Linked DNA regions of Stegostoma tigrinum. The protein of the gene in region 2 purifies or fractionates together with the protein of the main gene of each other region. This does not show direct contact. Links are inferred from orthologs where the notes say so. Each region holds a gene or a part of one and is shown on either strand. Other genes may lie near its edges.

Region 1 (7,143 bases), on a different chromosome or scaffold from region 2:
CATACCATGAGCGGAGTGTAGGTGAGAAAGCAAGCTATCCTTTACTTAGAAAAGACTCCTGCTCTTATATGGAAGCCCATCGCTAATGTCAAGAAAGCTAACAGGTTATAGTTCAACACCAGCATCTCCACATCAGGAAAGCTAACGACAGGAATATTATCCGAATATGAGTCAGACCAGCCAGAATGCAGTTGTGTCGAGAGATAATAAAGGCACGGGTGAAGGTTTTAGCTGCAGATGACCAACTTCGTTCCTGCCTCAGCCTAATGTTCCAGCTAATTATGGATATACAAAGGTTGCCAATCTAGATCCAAGTTGCATAAAGAAATGGTAGCCATGATACAACAGTAACAAATTATTGTCAAACCTTTCTCGACTGTCTGGTTAAAATCTTTAAGGTTTGTGCCCCTTTTCATTGGGTAGGTGAGATAAGACAAGTCGAACCAAGCCAGCAGGGTGACATGACTAGAACATTTCCAATCGGCCAATGAGGGAATCGACTTCTTTGCAAGGAGACGGGAGCGATCCCACCCCCGCCCTCAATACCTTCGAGATGATGGGAACTGCAGATGCTGGAGATTCCAAGATAATAAAATGTGAGGCTGGACGAACACAGCAGGCCAAGCAGCGTCTCAGGAGCACAAAAGCTGACGTTTCGGGCCTAGACCCTTCATCAGAGAGGGGGATGGGGGGAGGGAACTGGAATAAATAGGGAGAGAGGGGGAGGCGGACCGAAGATGGAGAGTAAAGAAGATAGGTGGAGAGAGTGTAGGTGGGGAGGTAGGGAGGGGATAGGTCAGTCCAGGGAAGACGGACAGGTCAAGGAGGTGGGATGAGGTTAGTAGGTAGCGGGGGGTGCGGCTTGGGGTGGGAGGAAGGGATGGGTGAGAGGAAGAACCGGTTAGGGAGGCAGAGACAGGTTGGACTGGTTTTGGGATGCAATGGGTGGGGGGGAAGAGCTGGGCTGGTTGTGTGGTGCAGTGGGGGGAGGGGACGAACTGGGCTGGTTGAGGGATGCAGTCGGGGAAGGGGAGATTTTGAAGCTGGTGAAGTCCACATTGATACCATATGGCTGCAGGGTTCCCAGGCGGAATATGAGTTGCTGTTCCTGCAACCTTCGGGTGGCATCATTGTGGCAGTGCAGGAGGCCCATGATGGACATGTCATCAAGAGAATGGGAGGGGGAGTGGAAATGGTTTGCGACTGGGAGGTGCAGTTGTTTTTTGCGAACTGAGCGGAGGTGTTCTGCAAAGCGGTCCCCAAGCCTCCGCTTGGTTTCCCCAATGTAGAGGAAGCCGCACCGGGTACAGTGGATGCAGTATACCACATTGGCAGATGTGCAGGTGAACCTCTGCTTGATGTGGAATGTCATCTTGGGGCCTGGGATGGGGGTGAGGGAGGAGGTGTGGGGACAAGTGTGGCATTTCCTGCGGTTGCAGGGGAAGGTGCCGGGTGTGGTGGGGTTGGAGGGCAGTGTGGAGCGAACAAGGGAGTCACGGAGAGAGTGGTCTCTCCGGAAAGCAGACAGGGGAGGGGATGGAAAAATGTCTTGGGTGGTGGGGTCGGATTGTAAATGGCGGAAGTGTCGGAGGATAATGCGTTGTATCCAGAGGTTGGTAGGGTGGTGTGTGAGAACGAGGGGGATCCTCTTGAGGCGGTTGTGGCGGGGGCGGGGTGTGAGGGATGTGTCGCGGGAAATGTGGGAGACGCGGTCAAGGGCGTTCTCGATCACCGTGGGGGGAAAGTTGCGGTCCTTAAAGAACTTGGACATCTGGGATGTGCGGGAGTGGAATGTCTTGTCGTGGGAGCAGATGCGGCGGAGGCGGAGGAATTGGGAATAGGGGATGGAATTTTTGCAGGAGGGTGGGTGGGAGGAGGTGTATTCTAGGTAGCTGTGGGAGTCGGTGGGCTTGAAATGGACATCAGTTACAAGCTGGTTGCCTGAGATGGAGACTGAGAGGTCCAGGAAGGTGAGGGATGTGCTGGAGATGGCCCAGGTGAACTGAAGGTTGGGTTGGAAGGTGTTGGTGAAGTGGATGAACTGTTCGAGCTCCTCTGGGGAGCAAGAGGCGGCGCCGATACAGTCATCAATCCTCCACCGACACTCTCATCCGCCTAGCTGAACTCGTCCTCACACTCAACAACTTCTCTTTTGACTCCTCCCACTTCCTACAGACTAAGGGGGTGGCCATGGGCACCCGCATGGGCCCCAGCTATGCCTGCCTCTTTGTAGGTTACGTGGAACAGTCCCTCTTCCGCACCTACACAGGCCCCAAACCCCACCTCTTCCTCCGGTACATTGATGACTGTAACGGCGCCGCCTCTTGCTCCCCAGAGGAGCTCGAACAGTTCATCCACTTCACCAACACCTTCCAACCCAACCTTCAGCTCACCTGGGCCATCTCCAGCACATCCCTCACCTTCCTGGACCTCTCAGTCTCCAACTCAGGCAACCAGCTTGTAACTGATGTCCATTTCAAGCCCACCGACTCACACAGCTACCTAGAATACACCTCCTCCCACCCACCCTCCTGCAAAAATTCCATCCCCTATTCCCAATTCCTCCGCCTCCGCCGCATCTGCTCCCACGACAAGACATTCCACTCCCGCACATCCCAGATGTCCAAGTTCTTTAAGGACCGCAACTTTCCCCCCACGGTGATCGAGAACGCCCTTGACCGCGTCTCCCACATTTCCCGCGACACATCCCTCACACCCCGCCCCCGCCACAACCGCCCCAAGAGGATCCCCCTCGTTCTCACACACCACCCTACCAACCTCCGGATACAACGCATTATCCTCCGACACTTCTGCCATTTACAATCCGACCCCACCACCCAAGACAATTTTCCATCCCCTCCCCTGTCTGCTTTCCGGAGAGACCACTCTCTCCGTGACTCCCTTGTTCGCTCCACACTGCCCTCCAACCCCACCACACCCGGCACCTTCCCCTGCAACCGCAGGAAATGCCACACTTGTCCCCACACCTCCTCCCTCACCCCTATCCCAGGCACCAAGATGACATTCCACATCAAGCAGAGGTTCACCTGCACATCTGCCAATGTGGTATACTGCATCCACTGTACCCGGTGCGGCTTCCTCTACATTGGGGAAACCAAGCGGAGGCTTGGGGACTGCTTTGCAGAACACCTCCGCTCAGTTCGCAACAAACAACTGCACCTCCCAGTCGCAAACCATTTCCACTCCCCCTCCCATTCTCTAGATGACATGTCCATCATGGGCCTCCTGCAGTGCCACAATGATGCCACCCGAAGGTTGCAGGAACAGCAACTCATATTCCGCCTGGGAACCCTGCAGCCATATGGTATCAATGTGGACTTCACCAGCTTCAAAATCTCCCCTTCCCCCACCGCATCCCTAAATCAGCCCAGTTCGTCCCCTCCCCCCACTTCACCACACAACCAGCCCAGCTCTTCCCCCCCACCCACTGCATCCCAAAACCAGTCCAACCTGTCTCTGCCTCCCTAACCTGTTCTTCCTCTCACCCATCCCTTCCTCCCACCCCAAGCCGCACCCCCAGCTACCTACTAACCTCATCCCACCTCCTTGACCTGTCCGTCTTCCCTGGACTGACCTATCCCCTCCCTACCTCCCCACCTACACTCTCTCCACCTATCTTCTTTACTCTCCATCTTCGGTCCGCCTCCCCCTCTCTCCCTATTTATTCCAGTTCCCTCCCCCCATCCCCCTCTCTGATGAAGGGTCTAGGCCCGAAACGTCAGCTTTTGTGCTCCTGAGATGCTGCTTGGCCTGCTGTGTTCATCCAGCCTCACATTTTATTATCTCAATACCTTCGATGCGTGATTGCGTCATTGGGGCGTACGTGGCACGTCAGGAGACCGTATCCTGATTGGCGGTTGAAGCAAATTTGAAATCAGGCCGCGAAAACGTCTGGAGTAACGGAGCCGGAACCAGGTGGAGAGCGGCGGACAAAGCGGTAAGGGCTCCTGGGGGAAAATGGGTCGGGAATCTAGAGATTGTTTTTGCTCTCCCCTCTTGAGATCGGTGCCGTTCCCCCGATAGCGGGATGTTGTTGATTTTAAGTTGGGTGGGCGATGGTAGTCGGGCTCCTGGGCCCCGTGGAAAAGCGGGAAGTGTCGTTCGTCTCCTTCCAGGATCTCCGCGATCAGAGAAAAGGCGAGCCCTTTGTGGTGATCGAGATATGTGCTGGGCCCTCGAGTGTATTAAAAATGTCTGTATAGCACTAGGCCATTGGCTACTTGATAAAGCCAGGTATTTCTCTCGCCTTCCCCATCTGTAGAATGTCCTAAAGTGCTTCACAGTAAAGAATGAACGTTTTCAACCGTAATTACTGCTGTAGTATAGGAAACACTGCGGCTAAATTGCACACAGCAATCTCCCGCAAACAGAAATGTGGAAATGAACCCAGATAATTGTCTTTTGTTATGTTAGTTTGAGGTACAAATATTTGCCAGGACACCAGAGGACTTCCCAGTTCGGTCACAGAGTGCCTCAGGATCGTCATGCAACCAAGCTAATAAGAACTGCAGATGCTGGAGAATCTGAGATAACAAGGTGTAGAGCTGGATGAACACAGCAGGCCAAACAGCATCAGAGGAACAGGAAAACTGACGTTTTGAGCCTCGATCCTTCATCAGAAATGGGTCTAGGCCTGAAATGTCAGCTTTCCTGCTCCTAAGATGCTGCTTGACCTGCTGTGTTCATCCAGCTCTACACATTATTATGTTGCATCCACACCAGTTTAATGTCTCATCCAAAAGACAGCACTTCTCTGACAGTGCAGCACTGCATTGGGAGTACCAGTTTAGATCTTGGTATTCAATTCTCTGATGTGGGAATTGAAACCAAGAGTGCTACTAATTGTTTTGTTAATTGCAGTAATATAGCTGTCAACCTTGTGTGTTGATGGATCTGCAGGCAAGAAATGCTGACTGGGTTGAGAAATGGAAAGACTTTCTTTCCACCCAGAGAAAGTGTAATGTGTTAACTTTAATGTTATGTGGTTCACTCTTGTAGCTTCAATGAAGTAATTTCAATTCATAGCACTGATTTTTAACCCCCTCACTGCAATCCTGATGCTGTACATTTCTGGTCTTGCATAGAGTGCTCTGTGTACTTGAATGGGATGTAGTTAGATATCAGCATTTATTGCTTCAGCAATAGCTTTTTATAAAGTTTTTGTTCAATTTGAGTTGGAGAGGCGCAAGATTCAAAAACAGAAATTTTAGTACTTTGAAGTGAATGGTTTCCCCATCTGTTAATGCTATAAGTTGCAACACATTGTGTCGTTAGAACTTGGATTTTAAACACTTAATAGGTCTGCAATACTTAATGTGACTGCCTCATCAAATTTGAGGGTTGTTTAAGCAATCTCTTGCGAATGCAGTTATTTTTGGAACAAATATTATTGTCAAAAATCTCTGTGGAATGACTTCGAAATCAAGGAGCTGCTGCTGCAGCACTGTTTTTATATTGCTGGAGGCCTTTTGGCTGCGATATGTCACTGAGATTCTTCAGTTTGTTTTAGTTGCTTCATTTAAATTCCATGGAAATTTTAGTCCTTAAACTGTTATCAGTTATAATTGGACATGATTTAGTTTAATAAAGTATTGTTTTTGTCACTATTTGCATCAAGCTGTCTTTAACACTGACTGGTAAAATCATGACATGCTCAGAATTTCCACGAAGTAAATATTAATAGTAAATTTTGTGCTGTTGAGTGATTGTTGGCATTGTGCTACTGTGTTTCTTTAAAAACCCTTCAGCTCTTGTCTTTTGCTGTGAATTAATACTGAGCTGGGATTTTTGAAATTGAGCTGGTGACGAGCCTGATCTCCATCTTTGGGCTGATGGCCATTTTATGATTTTTGTTTTAAAGCATCATCGGTAGGTTTATTCCTGCAAACATGCACACGATACCTTTTTTGTGACTTTGAGCCAACTGTTCATTCCTAGCAGATATCGGTGTGGGCAGAACATTGACCCTCACCTGAAGTAACTGTAGGACTAAAATTGAGTTGGTTGAAAATTACATTTTGGAGTAATTTGAATCTTCTCCTGGTTTTTCTCCCCATACAAGTCCAGTGTGTGAATATTGCAAGACAATATTGCACCAAGAATCTTGGTTTAAAACAGAGATGTGTGGAAGCTGTCACTTGTAGTTCCCTTGCTTTTCTTATGCATTAATCTCTTTTATAGGAAAATGGAATCTGCCATGGTCACTCTACGCAACATGTTCGAGCAGTTGCTCAGACAGATGGAAGTACTGAATGAAGGAATTGAACCTCGTAAGCATTTTTAGCTTTGCTAATGTTGGGGTATGGCCATGATCAGTGATGTTATTCATCTAGATTTCTGTGAGATACTTTGAATTTTAGTTTTCAGTATATTTGTATAAAACTGGGAGATAGGATACCAAAGCTGGCTTGGTGAGCTGTAAAACTGCATCATGAAGCTTTGCAGATCAACCAAAATATTTGGACTACCAAAGTAATTCATTAATTTTCAAGCACAAAGATTCAATTGTTTGTATTTCTGCCAGTACAATATGCTGACTCTTTTTGACTTTACCCAATGGGACTAAGAGAACCACTGACTTTGTATTAAATTATATTAAATATTAATAATTTGTCTGCCTGTGATTCCACTGTGCTTTGTATATTGATTCAATAGTTAATGTATGTGCATTTTCACTCACTGTTGAGCTTTTGTGTTGAATCTATTATCTTCTCTATACCTCCCATCACCACCCCCCCCCCCACATCATGTATATGTTCTGCCTCAAGCTGATCTCTCATTTTTCAATGTGTCAGTTTTGTAAGCATTTCAATCTCATTCCGCTTTGTCTCAGTATCAATTATAATCCACACTGCTCAAGTTTCTCCCCCTCAAATTTCTTGAGTCCTGGTGGTTTGAGTGGATCTGTTCACTATGTGCTACTTTGTGTCTAACCATTAATACCGGTGAACAAGTCTGACATGAAGAATAGCCCTTTTTAAAGCAGCTAGACCTGGGAAACTTGAAGAGAGAGCAGCAGAATTTGAAGTATAAACTCAATTTGGAAATTAGTCACTCTGGGTGTCACCCAAGCTAAAAGGGCCAGGGAATTGACCACACATAGATCTGGACAATGATTTACAT
Region 2 (7,248 bases):
ATACCTCAGAGCACGAAAAGCTCTTTCTCCAGAGCAAAAGAGCGAGATCATTGTTCTCAGGGCTCCAGTGACAAAGCAACACTATTGAATGAATCCCAGGCCAGCCTTAACGCTAATATCATAGTACTGCCACAGAAGTCAGTGGAGTGCAGCAACAGCATCATTTAGTAAAGAGGATATTTGGAACACAACATTAAGTTGCAAAACAATTAGAGGCACAGTTCAAAGAGGCAGTGTCAACTTTTGTTGTTATTTCTGGCTTAATTAGAAGCATTCACTTCTGAATCATAAGGCTCCAGGTTCACAATCCTACTTCCAGGACTTGAGTATAAAAATCCTGCCTGATACTCTGGTGCAGCTCTCACTGCTAGAGGTGAGAGATAATGGGAACTGCAGATGCTGGAGAATTCCAAGATAATAAAATGTGAGGCTGGATGAACACAGCAGGCCAAGCAGCATCTCAGGAGCACAAAAGCTGACGTTTCGGGCCTAGACCCTTCATCAGAGAGGGGGATGGGGTGAGGGAACTGGAATAAATAGGGGGAGAGGGGGAGGCGGACCGAAGATGGAGAGTAAAGAAGATAGGTGGAGAGAGTATAGGTGGGGAGGTAGGGAGGGGATAGGTCAGTCCAGGGAAGACGGACAGGTCAAGGAGGTGGGATGAGGTTAGTAGGTAGATGGGGGTGCGGCTTGGGGTGGGAGGAAGGGATGGGTGAGAGGAAGAACCGGTTAGGGAGGCAGAGACAGGTTGGACTGGTTTTGGGATGCGGGGCGGGGCAGGAGAGAGGGAGAGAGAGAGATGGGCTGGTTGTGTGGTGCAGTGGGGGGAGGGGACGAACTGGGCTGGTTTAGGGATGCAGTAGGGGAAGGGGAGATTTTGAAACTGGTGAAGTCCACATTGATACCATTAGGCTGCAGGGTTCCCAGGCGGAATATGAGTTGCTGTTCATGCAACCTTCGGGTGGCATCATTGTGGCACTGCAGGAGGCCCATGATGGACATGTCATCTAGAGAATGGGAGGGGGGAGTGGAAATGGTTTGCGACTGGAGGTGCAGTTGTTTGTTGCGAACTGAGCGGAGGTGTTCTGCAAAGCGGTCCCCAAGCCTCCGCTTGGTTTCCCCAATGTAGAGGATGCCGCACCGGGTACAGTGGATGCAGTATACCACATTGGCAGATGTGCAGGTGAACCTCTGCTTAATGTGGAATGTCATCTTGGGGCCTGGGATAGGGGTGAGGGAGGAGGCGTGGGGGCAAGTGTAGCATTTCCTGCGGTTGCAGGGGAAGGTGCCGGGTGTGGTGGGGTTGGAGGGCAGTGTGGAGCGAACAAGGGAGTCACGGAGAGAGTGGTCTCTCCGGAAAGCAGACCGGGGTGGGGATGGAAAAATGTCTTGGGTGGTGGGGTCGGATTGTAAATGGCGGAAGTGTCGGAGGATGATGCGTTGTATCCAGAGGTTGGTAGGGTGGTGTGTGAGAACGAGGGGGATTCTCTTTGGGCGGTTGTGGCGGGGGCAGGGTGTGAGGGATGTTTTGCGGGAAATACGGGAGACGCGGTCAAGGGCGTTCTCGATCACTGTGGGGGGAAAGTTGCGGTCCTTAAAGAACTTGGACATCTGGGATGTGCGGGAGTGGAATGTCTTATCGTGGGAGCAGATGCGGCGGAGGCGGAGGAATTGGGAATAGGGGATGGAATTTTTGCAGGAGGGTGGGTGGGAGGAGGTGTATTCTAGGTAGCTGTGGGAGTCGGTGGGCTGCTAGAGGTGCCCTTTTTTTGCACAAGAATAGATCAACTCCTCTTAGGCATACAGTGCTGCCAACAAAAGCCAATTTACTAGAAATAAGGTAACACATCAATAAGTCTGACCTATCACAGGACTCTAGCATTCTTTGCAAGACCATTGATTGCGTGGAGCTCAATTTAACATTTAGACCTACTGTCTTAAAATCTGATGAAAACATAGACTGTCTCATTTCACCTCTAGTTATCATGCCAGCTACCTTAGGTGGGCCAGGAAAAGTTTCTCATTATTTAATCTTTCAAAACATTTCAAACTGTGCTTTCCCTGGTACTTTTCATGTAAGCCTAACATCTTACCTAAAACAAGGCACCCAGAATGAAAAATATTCCAGTTGCTTTTAGACCCATTATTTCATACTTTGAATTTTATAATCTAAGGCTTGGAAATCCCTGCCTTAACCTCATTCTCTCCCCACATTAAAACATTCTTTGCTTAAAGCTACCTGTGATCAAGTGGACATCCAAACTCAATTCCTTGGAGGTTGTTAAAGCACAGTTTTGTCCAGTTAACATTTCTGTGAATCATCTTGGAATGACACTACATGCAAAATACGGCACAAATGCAAGTTACTATATCAGAACTAGTCCAGATTTTCCATGCTTTTAAAACAAAAGGAACCTGCAGGGTTTTTTTTTGTCAGCAGGGTGTGTGTGGAAGTGAAACACTCAGCTACGATTCAAAACAGAGGACACCAGGATGACACACACTGACGAACCTCGGGACAGATGAACACATTAAGAAGCTGCTAATATAAATGCAGGCTGTTGTTGCAGCTCAGAGATCCCAATTGTGACCATAGTCACAAATAAAAGCAATCCTTTAAAACAAGTAGAATTTTAAAAATATTTACCGAGTAGGTAAAAATATTTTTAAAAATCAGTAGAATAAAAATTGAAACATTACACATCAACAGTAAGAACGAGGTTAAGATGGTACAATTTGAAAACAAAAATCAATTAAAAGTCACATTTTTCATGATTTTTTTTTGCTTGGAAGTGGTCACCCCGGGGGCGAAATAAAATAGTTTCAAACTTTAAAGGAGCCATTCATGGAGACTGACAAAAGAAGAATAAAGTTGAAGAACGCGAGAGCTGGTTAGAAGTGCGTGATCTAAAATCAATCGATCGAGAGGAGTTTAACCTGACAATCTATACTCACGTTGTTTTCATCGTTAGTTTTTAATTATAACAGACAGCGGGGCAATACTCCTCCCGCAGCCGCTCCAGCTACAGCTCTGCCTCCGCGCCGACACCAACCGCCGTCAATTCAAATCCCGCGCCTTTCCCATTGGCCCGGGCTCTCCCCACCTCCCATTGGACAGGCTCCATCCTCCTGTCAATCAGGCCGCGGGTCCGGTGCGCACGCGCACTTGTTCCCTTCCCGTACATGGTCTGCCCAAGGGGAGGGGCCAGCCAAGCCCATGCGCATCGCTGCGAGGGGAACTCAGCGGACTTCATCGGCATGGCGGAATTTGCGCATGCGCGCCGCCACGGCTTGCAAGCCGAGGGAGCGAGCGAATGCGCACCGCAGCCGAGTGGGGACAGTTGAAGTTGGGGATGAAGGGTCTGGGCCCGAAACGACAGCTTTTGTGCTCCTGAGATGCTGCTGGGCCTGCTGTGTTCATCCAGCTGCACACTTTGTTATCTGGGGACAGTTGAAGCATGCGCACCGCTTTTGCGAGGGGAAGCTGGCGCATGCGTATTGCCACAGCGGAAAGCTGGCGCGTGCGTATTCCTAGCTGTCAATGTCACTAGTGTCAAGGTTTATCATTAACCTAGAGCTTGTTTGATTTCTCCATTGTTGCTCGGATCACGAAACTATAGTTATGAGAAAACTATAGACTGGAGGCTTGTGACCAGCAATGTGCTGGGATAATGGGAACTGGAGAATCCAAGATAATAAAATGTGAGGCTGGATGAACACAGCAGGCCCAGCAGCATCTCAGGAGCACAGAAGCTGACGTTTCGGGCCTAGACCCTTCATCAGAGAGGTCCAATGTACTGGGTCCACTGCTTTTTGTCATTTCTATAAATGATTCGAATGTGAACATAGGAGGTATGGTTAATGAGATTGAAGCTGTAGTGCACAGCGAAGGAGGTTACCTCAGAGTACAGTGGGACCTTGATCAGATGGGCCAATGGGCTGAGGACTGGCAAATGAACTTTAATTTAGATAAATGTGAGGTGCTACATTTTGGAAAGGCAGATCAGGGCAGGACTAATACAGTCATAGGGTATGGTGAAAAAGCAAGTAAGTGCTTCACTACGCCAGGAGGAGGAGGAATACCTCTTCCAAGTGTTCAAGGATAATAGATATTCAAAGAACTGGGTCAGGAGATGCCTATAGGAACAGCATCAGAAAGATTCTACATGCCCCGACACACTCATCACACTACCCCTACATGAGGAATACATCAGAACTCACCACAAGACTTCTACGACCACTGGGCATCAGAGTGGCACACAAACCTACATTAACCCTGTGACAAGTGCTCATCCAAACTAAAGATCCACTCCCCGCCATGGACAGGACCAATTTCATCTGCAAGATCCCCTGCAGAGACTACGAGAAACACTACATCAAACAAACAGGAAGGAAACTAACAGCAAGAATACATGAACACCAACTGGCTACAAAAAGACACAACCAATAATCACTCACCTTAATCCACATGGACAAGGAGAACCACGACTTTGACTGGGACAACACCAAGATCCTGGGACAGGCTAGGCAGAGACAAGCACGAGGATTCCTGGAAGCATGGCACTCCACGAAGCAGACTCTTAATAAACACATTGAACTCGACCCCGTATACATTCCACTATGAAGGAAAACTGGAAGTGAGGCAATCCATCTTACCGGACCCCAGAGTTTAAAAACCAGGCAGGAAAACACACCGATGCTTCATCGGAGGCTGCACTGAGGATGTTACCAAGCACTGTAACGAAACATCTGCGAAACATCAAACCAGCTCGGCGAGCCAACCAACCTCAACACACACAACCTGAGCTACAGATCTACTCTAAAACCTTAGAGCTACATGTATGTTTCTATATGCTTTGATTTGCCTGAGGTTTGTTTGGCCTGTCGCTTTCAAGGGAATGACGTTCCAGATTGCACTCAATTGGTATTAAGGACCATTCAAGTCATTGTGACATGATCAACTGCTTACAGTCTCTGCTCACACGTGCCCTCAAACAGATGCTGCTGGTATAGCAGCGTAATTCACGTAATGGGGATTTTTAAATAGAACGTAAAATACAGGAGCAGAAATAGGCCATTTAGCCTATCAAGTCTGCTCATCATTCAATGAGATTATAGCTGATCTGATGATTCTCAACTCTACTTTCTTGCTTTTTCACCACACCCTTACTGATTAAACATTTGTCTATCTCAGCCTTTAATATAATTATTTATATACCTTGACAATCCTCTATGGTAAACAATTCCACAGATTCTCTACTGTCTCAGAAAAGATATCCCTCCTTATCTCTGACTTAAATGTGTGACCCCTTATTCTTAACTGGACTATCCTACAAAACACTACCCTGCTATATAACAGCCGTAGCCAGGCTTTCTTAAATTCTGGTATTTAAGCAATATCTTTCATGACTTTGACATTCAAAAAGTGTTATATAAGGGAGGATTTTTAAAACTTTTATTACTGACCTAATTTAAGAAACATGACAACCATTTTGCACACAACAAGATTCCTCAGACAGCAATGCAATAATGATGAGATAATGTTCTTTCGGTGATGTTGATGTGAGAGCTGGGTATTGGCCAGGAGACCAGGGAAAACTCACTACTACTCCTCAAAACATGCCCATGGGATCTTTTATCTGATGCCCTTCTGAGGATCTCAGCTCAATGTTTCATCCAAAATCCTGCATCTCTGATGTGTAGCTCTCGCTCAGCATTGCACTGGAAGTGTCAGCCTGAATAATTTGTTCGAGTCTCTGCCATGTGCTTTAAAGCCATGACCTTCTGTCCCCAGGGAGAGTTGGAGCCAGTGTGGACATTTTGGAGGCAACTTGACACAGCCCCTGACTGGCATCCAGATTTGGAGACTCTTTGTGAAGGGAGAATAGGTTCAGGAGCTGCGTTATCCTTAAAATCGGTTTGAAGGTTCTGGGTATCAATTGGGAACCCACCGTTTACTTTCACTGTTATAACCTTTGCAAATTGCTGATGAGCCACTGCTCTGGGTAGAAGGAGACATGTTTGGGAGCAGAAGTAAGCCTTTCAAGGCTACATCATTCACTATATTCAAGGCTGAGATAGATTTTTATTCAGTGAAGAAATCAAGGGTTACGGGGTAAAGGTAGGAAAGTGGAGCCAAGGATTGTCATGTCAGCCATGATCTCATTCAAAGGAGGAGCAGACTCAATGGGCTGAATGGCCTATTTCTGCTCCATCTTATGGAATATTTGATATGGAATATGTGTTCTGAGGAAGGGGCACTGGAACCAAAGCATTAACTCTGATTTCTGTCAGAAGGTGCTGCCAGACCTGCTGAGCTCTTCCAGCAATTTTTTTGTCTACTTATGGAACATCGCCTTGCGCAAAGCCGAGCCCTGCCACAATGGGTGCCACAAAGCCAGGTAGAACGTGATTGACACCTGGCCCAGCAGGAGTGAGCTGGGTGTAATGATCACTCCCTGACTATAATATACTTGGTGCTCAAGGTGCCAGTGGCTTGTTTGTGTAGTGAGTAGGGAAATGAAGCCTGTGCTTGTTTCAATTCTGAGCACTTTTGATTTAAGTATAAAAGTTATTCATAAATTATGTTTGAAGGCTTATCTGTCTGTGCCAGCCTCAAAGTGATCAATGATAAGATGCTGGGCTCCAATGGGAATTGTGGTGGAGTAGCAGTGATTTACAGAAGGTTGTGAGATGGGAAGTGGATATGGACCATGAGGTGTGTAGTTGGTCCTTAACAAGTGATTGGGGTGGCAGTGTGCAATACAGTGTCTGCCATGCTGAATCTATGCTGTGAGAATTTGTCATTGTGCCGTTTGACAGTGAAGGACAATTCCAGACTGCCAATGCTTGACCAAATGTATGGCCAGAGTTCAAAGTACAAGAGCCAGTGATGCCTGACAACTCCCAGATTTTGGAAAACTGCATTCAATTCTGATCTCCCTGCTATAGGAAACATGTTATTAGGAAAGATCCCCAGCCTCTGGCGGTGATTCCCAGCCCCCTGCAGCGATTCCCCTCTGGTGATGATTCCCAGCCTCTAGTGTTGGTTCCCAGTCTCAAGCGGCAATTCCCAGCCTCCAGTAATGATTACCAGTGTCCGGTGATGATTCCAGGCCTTAAGCAACAACTCCTGGCCTGGCACAATGGCCTGCCACAGCAGCCTCCAGGCATGGCATGGCAATCTCCCAGCCTGGCACAGTGGCTTCTTCCCATAGAAACATCATTCCATGGTGTGGGGAACTTCCA
Region 3 (7,421 bases), on a different chromosome or scaffold from region 2:
CTTCATCAGTCAAGGCTTTGAGCATAGGAGTTGGGATGTCATGTTACAGTTGTACAAATCATTGGTCAAAAAGAATTTGGAATATTGTGTATACCTTTGGTCAGCCTGTGAAATGGAAGACAGAGTTAAACTGGAAAGTGTGCAAAGATGATTTACAAGAATGTTGCTAGCACTAATAGGCCTGAGTTATTGGGAGAGGTTGGCCAAGATAGGACTTTATTTCTTGGAAGGTAGGAGAATGAGGGGTGACCTCATTGAGGTGCTTAAAATCATGTGGGACATAGATAGGGTGAATGCATATAGTCTTTTCCCAGGGAGGGGGAGTTGAAAACTAGAGGGCATAGGTTTAAGGTGACAGGGGAACGATTTAAGAAGGACCTAAGGGGCAACTTCTTCACACAGTGGTGTGTATATGAAATGGGCTGTCAGAGAAAAATGGCTGAGGCAGATACAATAGCAACTTTAAGAAACACCTGAATACGTACATGGATGAGAAGGGTTTAGAGGGATATGGACCAAATGCGGGCAATTGGAACTAGTTGAGTGGGCACTGTGGTCGACTTGGACCAATTTGGACCAAAGGGCCTGTTTCTATGCTGTGTTACTCTAACTCATAACAAGAAACAAAGGCAATTGTGGACGGCTGTTTTGCTAACTGGAAGGCTGCTTTCCATTGGTGTTCCAAGGCTCAGAACAGCGTGTCCTGTTTTGTGGCATATATTAACAAAAGACAAGATAAAGTTTGCAGATGTCAAAAACTGACTGCATGATTGATAGCAAGGAGGTAGAAATATAACCATTAGATCGGTCTGGTTAGTAGACAAGTGACAAATGGAATTGAACCTAGAAAGCTGCAAGATGATGTGCATGGGCAAAGAAATGTATAATTTTCAGGAGTAGATTAAAAGGTGCAAAGAAAATGAAGGACCTCAGAGTGAATGACCACACATCCCAAAGGTAGTAGAGAAGGTCAAGTAGGTGGTTAAGGTAGCATATGGAATGTTTCATTTATGAGCATGAGGTATGAAATACAAGAGTAGACAGGTTACCCTGGAAATCTACACAAGTTATATTATAAAATAATTTATAACTTGTGCAATTCTAGACACTTCATTACATAAAGAATTTAAAGGCTCCAGAGGAGTGTCTGAACAAATTGATTTTAAAAAAATTGGTAACTGCACTACAGCAGGTGCCACACACATTTGCAAGCATTTTACCGAGAATGGGAAAACTGGAGTTATTCTCTTTGGAAAAGAAGTGGCTTAGGAGAGATTTGATGAAGATGTAGAAAATGGTGAAGGGCTCAATAGAGTAGTTAGGTAAGTATTTTTCTAGCAAGGTCAGTGACTAAGAGGTATAGGTTTCAAATATCTTAAGAGATTGGGGAGGGGCACAGGTAGAAAAGGGAAAAAAAAGACTTTTTGCCCAGAGGCAGTGTGTTTGAAACTCACTGCCAGATAGAATACCAGTAAAAAAAATCTCTGGAGGTACATTCAAATCGGCAAAGTGCACGGACTCAGACCAAACACTGAAAAGTGGACAAAGACAGAACATGCTGGAGAACTGCATATCTGGCAGCATTGTTAAGTTTGTTTTTCCCTCTACAAAATACTGCTAAGCCTGCTGAGTTTCTCCAGCACTTTCTGTTTTTGTTTCAGATTTCCAGCACTCTTGGTTAGGGGGTTACACAGCATGAAAACTCTGCTTTATTTTCTGAAAAGGGCTCAGAAAAGATTTGCAAGGATGCTGCCAGGGTTGTAGGGTTTGAACTAAAGGGAGAAGCTGAATAAACTAGAGCTAATTTCCCTGGAGCATCAGAGGCTGAAGGCTGACATTGTAGAAGTTCATGAAATCACAAGGTGCATGGTTTGGGCAAATAGCCACGGTCTTTTCCCCAGCACAGAGGGGTCCACAATTGTAAGGTATCGGCTTAGTGTATGTTACTTAAAAATGAACCTCAGGAGCAACTTTTTCACAGAGCGTGGTCCGTGTATGCAATGAGTTACCAGAGGAAGTGGTGGAAGCGGGTACAATTCAAAACATTTAAAAGGCATCCAGATGGGTACGTGAATAGGGAGGGCTTAGAAGGATATGGCCAAAGGGTCTAGATTAAGTTAGGGTATGTGGTCGGCAAGGATAGGTTGCACTGAAGGGTCTGTTTCCAGGCTGTATATCTGAAACTGTTTTATTGACAAGTGAAATTTGTTTAGATGGCTCCATTCTTTGTTGATGCAGTCGCCATGGGCCAAATGACTTTTTGAGATGAAAGCTTTAATGATTCTAACAGCACAAAGTGCTGTATTCCTCCAGCTCCACACTGTGCTGTCTCTAACTCCAACAAGAACTGCAGATGCTATCTCTGAGTCTCCAATATAATACCTACTTATAGTGAGCAGCTCAGGAACCTCAACCTATGTACGTATATTCGTTTGCTACAGCGATTTACACTGGGCAGAATGAATACTAAACTAAAAGCTGTGCTGTGTCTTCGAACAGATTTATTCATGAGTTTTTTTATAGTCGGAATAGCCGTTGTAGCATCTTCCGTTGAAGATGACCTCTGATGGAGCTTGGATCTTTATCAAGTGCCAATAAGGCCCGGGGGATTGTAAAGTGACGTGCCGTAACCGCTTGCGGGCATTGGAACCGGAACCTCACTCAAATATCCGCGTTACCTTCCACGGCGTCCGATACGGTCTCGATCAGGAGGTGCTCCTTGGAGGAGTCGGCGAGTCTGGAATCGAAACCGGATGAATCCACCAGAAGACTCCCGGCGCTGGCGGCCGCTGAGCTCCACTCAGCCATTATCAGTCCGGCTGCAAGCAGCGAATGTTGGGTTGTTTAGGCACACACAACCACTCCGTGTCAATCCAAGCGAACCCCCGACACAGCACCGTGGGCAAGCGTCGTGAAAAAGCGGAGCCCCAATTCAAATTTGGCGCTTTCCCTCACCTTCTAACAGCTTTGGAACCTGAGCCCACCGCAACCTCCAAACAAACGACCAAATTCAAACTTCGGGCCACCCTTCTAAACGCCTCTCTGATTGGTCTACGCAGATGCCGGCGATGCCGGGAAGGTCCTTTTCTGATTGGCCATTCTCGGAACTGTTAAGATTCTACCATCGATGATTGGAGCTGTGGGCACTTAGGCCATAGCTGATTGGTCAGTGAACTATCGTGCCCTCCCGAACGGATAAAAATGACCGTCCGCGGCTTTCGGAAAGCACAGACTTTCAAATACTGAAAATCTGGAAAAGTGATTGTTTCATAAAGCTTGTAATTGGACATGTAATGAACTACTATTCAGCGTCATACACTATATTGAAAGAAACCACGTTTGTTTACGTTTATTAATTTATATACTATATATTCAAATATCCAGTTCACAGTTTGAAAAAGTCGAACCACACGATATCAATGCTGTTAATTATAGACTATTTTTCAGGCAGTTTATAACTTAAACCACAGAACCGAGCTTCCCTTTATTTTTTCGATGTATAATGAAACAAATAATTACAGATGCTAAAAATCTTAAACTAAAGCAGAAATTGTTAGAGAGATAGTAGGAACTGCCAATGCTGGAGTATCTGAGATAACAAGGTGTGAAGCTGGATGATCACAGCAGGCCAAGCAGCATCAGAGGAGCAGGAAAGTTCGACGTTTCGGCTGGAGACCCTTCCTCAGAAACTCGTTCTGAAGCAGGGTCACTGGATTACAAACGTTAGTTCTGCTCTCTGTCAACAAATGCTGCCAGTCCTGCTGAGTTTCTCCACCAATTTCTGTTTTTGTTCCCTTTAGTCTTAACAGAAAACCACTTAACGCGTGCAGTCAGCTGATTCAACAAAGAAAACATTCCCTGGAAGCACAGTTAGTGTCGGATTCTTCTGCAGATTTGGGGAAAGATGTAGAGGCATCTGAAGCCAGAACGTACGGTTTTCTAAAGCAGAATTTTATGTTGATTTTTTGGCTACTTCCTATTTTAAAATAACTGAACATATATTAATCTTTAATTTTTTGATGTAGTCCTCTTTTTCCCCTTTAAGTTTGCATGATGTGGGTGAACATATTAGTGTAATTGCTCACTCTTGGCAGTGACAAAACGTTTTAAAATTTGTTTATTTAAAGGGACACGCTCTTCGGCAGACTTTATGACTACCAGGAGCAGTTTTATTCTTGAATTGTTTTATTTAATGCTGAATTACTACTCGTATTGGATTAGTGAAAAGCGTAAGTTTAGTTTACTTGAAAATATCAAACAGGTTTACTTGACAAACTTACATACAACTCATGTAAGCATTCTTGGTCCAGCATGCTGCTGCTTGGAATCCTCATCTGCTGATCATTCTGGTACTTGGCTCATTGGCATAAAAAAACTTAAATCAGCAACACAAAATTCCTGATTTTCTGCCTCTATGGTAAATCTACCTGCACTGAGTGAAATTATATTTACATTAGGTGGTTGCAAAACTATTTACACGAAACAAAGTTGGTAAATTTTGCCATTCTTAAAAGCTGATGAGACAACTCTACAGATCGTGTAATGGTATAACTTTCGTAATATCTAGACTTCACATTTGGTTGCCCTTGACTGGCATGTGCGTTAGTTTCTTGCAAGTTATTTGTGTTGTTCATTGTCATGATGCTCTTCCAAACCTTTGTTTTCTATGTGCAGTTGTACATTTCACTCAATTGGTTTCTGTTTCTCTTCAATGTTGCTCAACTAGGTATTGTTATTTTGAAAACTGTAGGTTTACTGAACAGGTTCATTGGTATTTTGGATACCAATGCAGGTAGAATTTTTGATGCTGATCCACAGTGCCACATGTAAATTAGGCCGTTCCACACCTGCATGATAGTCATATCTTTTCTTAATTCTCCCTTGTTTTTTCAATAAATTTGTCCCATATGTGTCAGAACATGATTTTTTCTCACTTGACTTCCAAAGACAATCTCTGCTGATAAATCCGTATCCAGAAGTATTCCTTTTAGGTGTTGCATACATAGGAATATGAACATTCCGTTTTGTCACCCTGTGCTCCATGTTAAATATTTTTAACATTGCAGATCATTTGTGCATCAAGACGATTAGATCTGAGATAATCTGGTGAAGCTGTCTAATGGCTCATGCCTCATTTGACACACAAGTCCCTAAAAAAGCCAGCCTGTAGTGTGTGCTCCACTGTTAGATATGATTTCTTAAGGTGTATTGAGTAAACTGAATATTTCACACATTATATCTGCTACAAAGACACACTAAATTTTCTTTAACTGTGACAACTGGAAATTTAGATAAATATTCATTGACAAGGAGAAAATTATCACTATGAATGGTGACTAAATCTGTTGCAAATCTGGACAAAGAGAACGATGGAATCTCATGAGGGTGTAGAAGTTCTTTGTGTTCTCTGCTTGGTGACTCTGGCACCCTGTACATCCTCAATGTTTTCTTGACATCATCATTGATCTCTGGCTAACGGACAGAATTCCTCGCCAGTCATCTTGATCGTGTGATGTCCATGTGTCGCTGAAGCTACAATGAAAGGTCTTAGCTAAGAACTTCAGGTATAGGCACTTGTTTCCCTTTAGTAATTCACCTTTTGAGATATCTAGTTCCACTTTGCATAGGTAGAAGCGTTAGAGTCTGGCTATCCTTGTATAACTTTTCAGTCATGGATCATTTGCTGTTTCTTCCTGAGGTTGGTTGTATTTGTGGTAACCAATATTTATCAGACTGATTATAAGTACTTCTTCCATCTGTGTCCATACTGTCTACTAGTGAGTCTAATTAAGCTTCCAGCATTTTTATTCAGGTTTATTAATTTGCTAAGCATGTCCAAGGTACCAGGGATGTAATAGATATCCAAATCAAATGCCTTACTCCTCACCAATCGTGGTCTTTTGTGAAAGGTGGCTGCCAAGTGACCGGAAGTGCTCAACATCTTCCAGAGTCTCTCTTTCAAAATATATGGATGGAATATTTGACTGACCAGGTTTAGATTGATATATGAGTTTAGTTTTGGCAACATTCAAGGACTAACAGAATGTCTCGTATGCAGAATTCTGAGAGATCAAAAATGGCTTGCAAATCTGGTGCAGCATAGGAAATGGCACATACTTGCAGCATGCAGTTGCCTGTATGTGCATGACAGTCAATGACCAAGTGTTTAATACACACACACCAGAGAATTGCTTCTCCTCTTTAAATCACTAATATCAGGTTGGTGTCACATTGGACTCAATATTTAAAGTGTAATGTACAAATGCATTTTTTTAAATTCATCGACTGGCCCACTGGAAATAGAGGCCAATATCCTATTTGCTTTCCTAATTGCTTGCTGTACTTACATACTAAAGGTGTTCCTGTGTCAGGAAAACCAAGGTTTCTAAACAGTAACATGTCCAAGATGCATGCTTTTTAAAAATGATTGTTTTTCTGTTCTTACAGCAAAAGCAAATAACCTCATAAACCTTCACATTACATATATACCACATTATTTCCTACTCACTGTATTTACCTCTTTGCAGCCTGTTGTTGATTTTATTGCATTGACACTTGGATTTGAATCATCAGCAAAGTTTGATACGTCACACTCAAGTTTTTTTTCTGATTCACAGAAAATTGTATAAATTTGTATAAGATTGTATAAAGCACTGATCTTTGCAGCACTCTACTGGACATAGCCTGCCAACTTGAATATATACCATGCTCCTGTCCATTAAACAATTTTCTATTTATTCTATTGTAACACCCCAAACTCCCTAAGCCCTTATCTTGCCTATTAACACTTTGCGTAGCACCTTATCAAATATCTTTTTGAAATTCAAGTATACAGCAGCTTATCCCTTATCTACTCTATTAGCTATTTGTTTTTTTTAAAAAAATTGCTAATACTTTTATCAAATACGATTTCTCTTTGATCAAACTACAATGACGTATTGTATTGTAATCATACAAGTATTTTCTAAATGCACTGTTAAAACTTTGATTGATAGATTTGAATGCTTTCCTGCTGTCAGAGATTAAACTAATTGGCCTGTGGTCTTGGTTTTCTTTCTCGCTCCTTTCTTGAATATCAATTTTACATTTGCTGACTTGTGACCTGCGAGGGCCATTCCAGAAGCTACAGCGCTTTGGAAACCAATATCTTGGTAGTTATCTCTATTTAAAAAAAAATTTAGGACATAGGCCATCAGATTATGGGGATTTGTTGGCTTTTAGTACCTCAAGTTTCTCCAGTATTTTCTTTCTGCTGAAATGAATTTCATCACTCTTAATAGCTTTAAATTATTCTCTATTTTTTATAACTGGTCTTCTATAAAATGAAGACAAAATATTTGTTCCATGTCCCTGAATCCCCACAGTAATTTCTCCGGTCTCTGTATCTAAGGAATTTACATTAGCTATTGTCTACTTTGTTT

The links.
Region 1: the proteins of kif23 (region 2) and racgap1 purify together in Homo sapiens (co-immunoprecipitation; 10 studies listed by BioGRID and IntAct, counting the BioPlex papers as one, with this or other methods). This does not show direct contact. The link is inferred for Stegostoma tigrinum from reciprocal best matches to the Homo sapiens genes KIF23 and RACGAP1.
Region 3: the proteins of kif23 (region 2) and ect2 purify together in Homo sapiens (co-immunoprecipitation; 3 studies listed by BioGRID and IntAct, with this or other methods). This does not show direct contact. The link is inferred for Stegostoma tigrinum from reciprocal best matches to the Homo sapiens genes KIF23 and ECT2.

What each region holds. Positions count from the first base shown.
Region 1 is NC_081404.1:14,134,098-14,141,240, reverse strand, and holds the start of racgap1 (rac GTPase-activating protein 1), read left to right. Parts: upstream 1-4,037; 5' UTR 4,038-4,048; coding exon 4,049-4,254; intron 4,255-6,201; coding exon 6,202-6,290; intron 6,291-7,143.
Region 2 is NC_081386.1:31,623,767-31,631,014, reverse strand, and holds the start of kif23 (kinesin-like protein KIF23), read right to left. Parts: upstream 3,065-7,248; 5' UTR 2,967-3,064; coding exon 2,956-2,966; intron 1-2,955.
Region 3 is NC_081367.1:34,083,176-34,090,596, reverse strand, and holds the start of ect2 (protein ECT2), read right to left. Parts: upstream 3,017-7,421; 5' UTR 2,809-3,016; coding exon 2,679-2,808; intron 1-2,678. UniProt on the Homo sapiens protein: Guanine nucleotide exchange factor (GEF) that catalyzes the exchange of GDP for GTP. Promotes guanine nucleotide exchange on the Rho family members of small GTPases, like RHOA, RHOC, RAC1 and CDC42.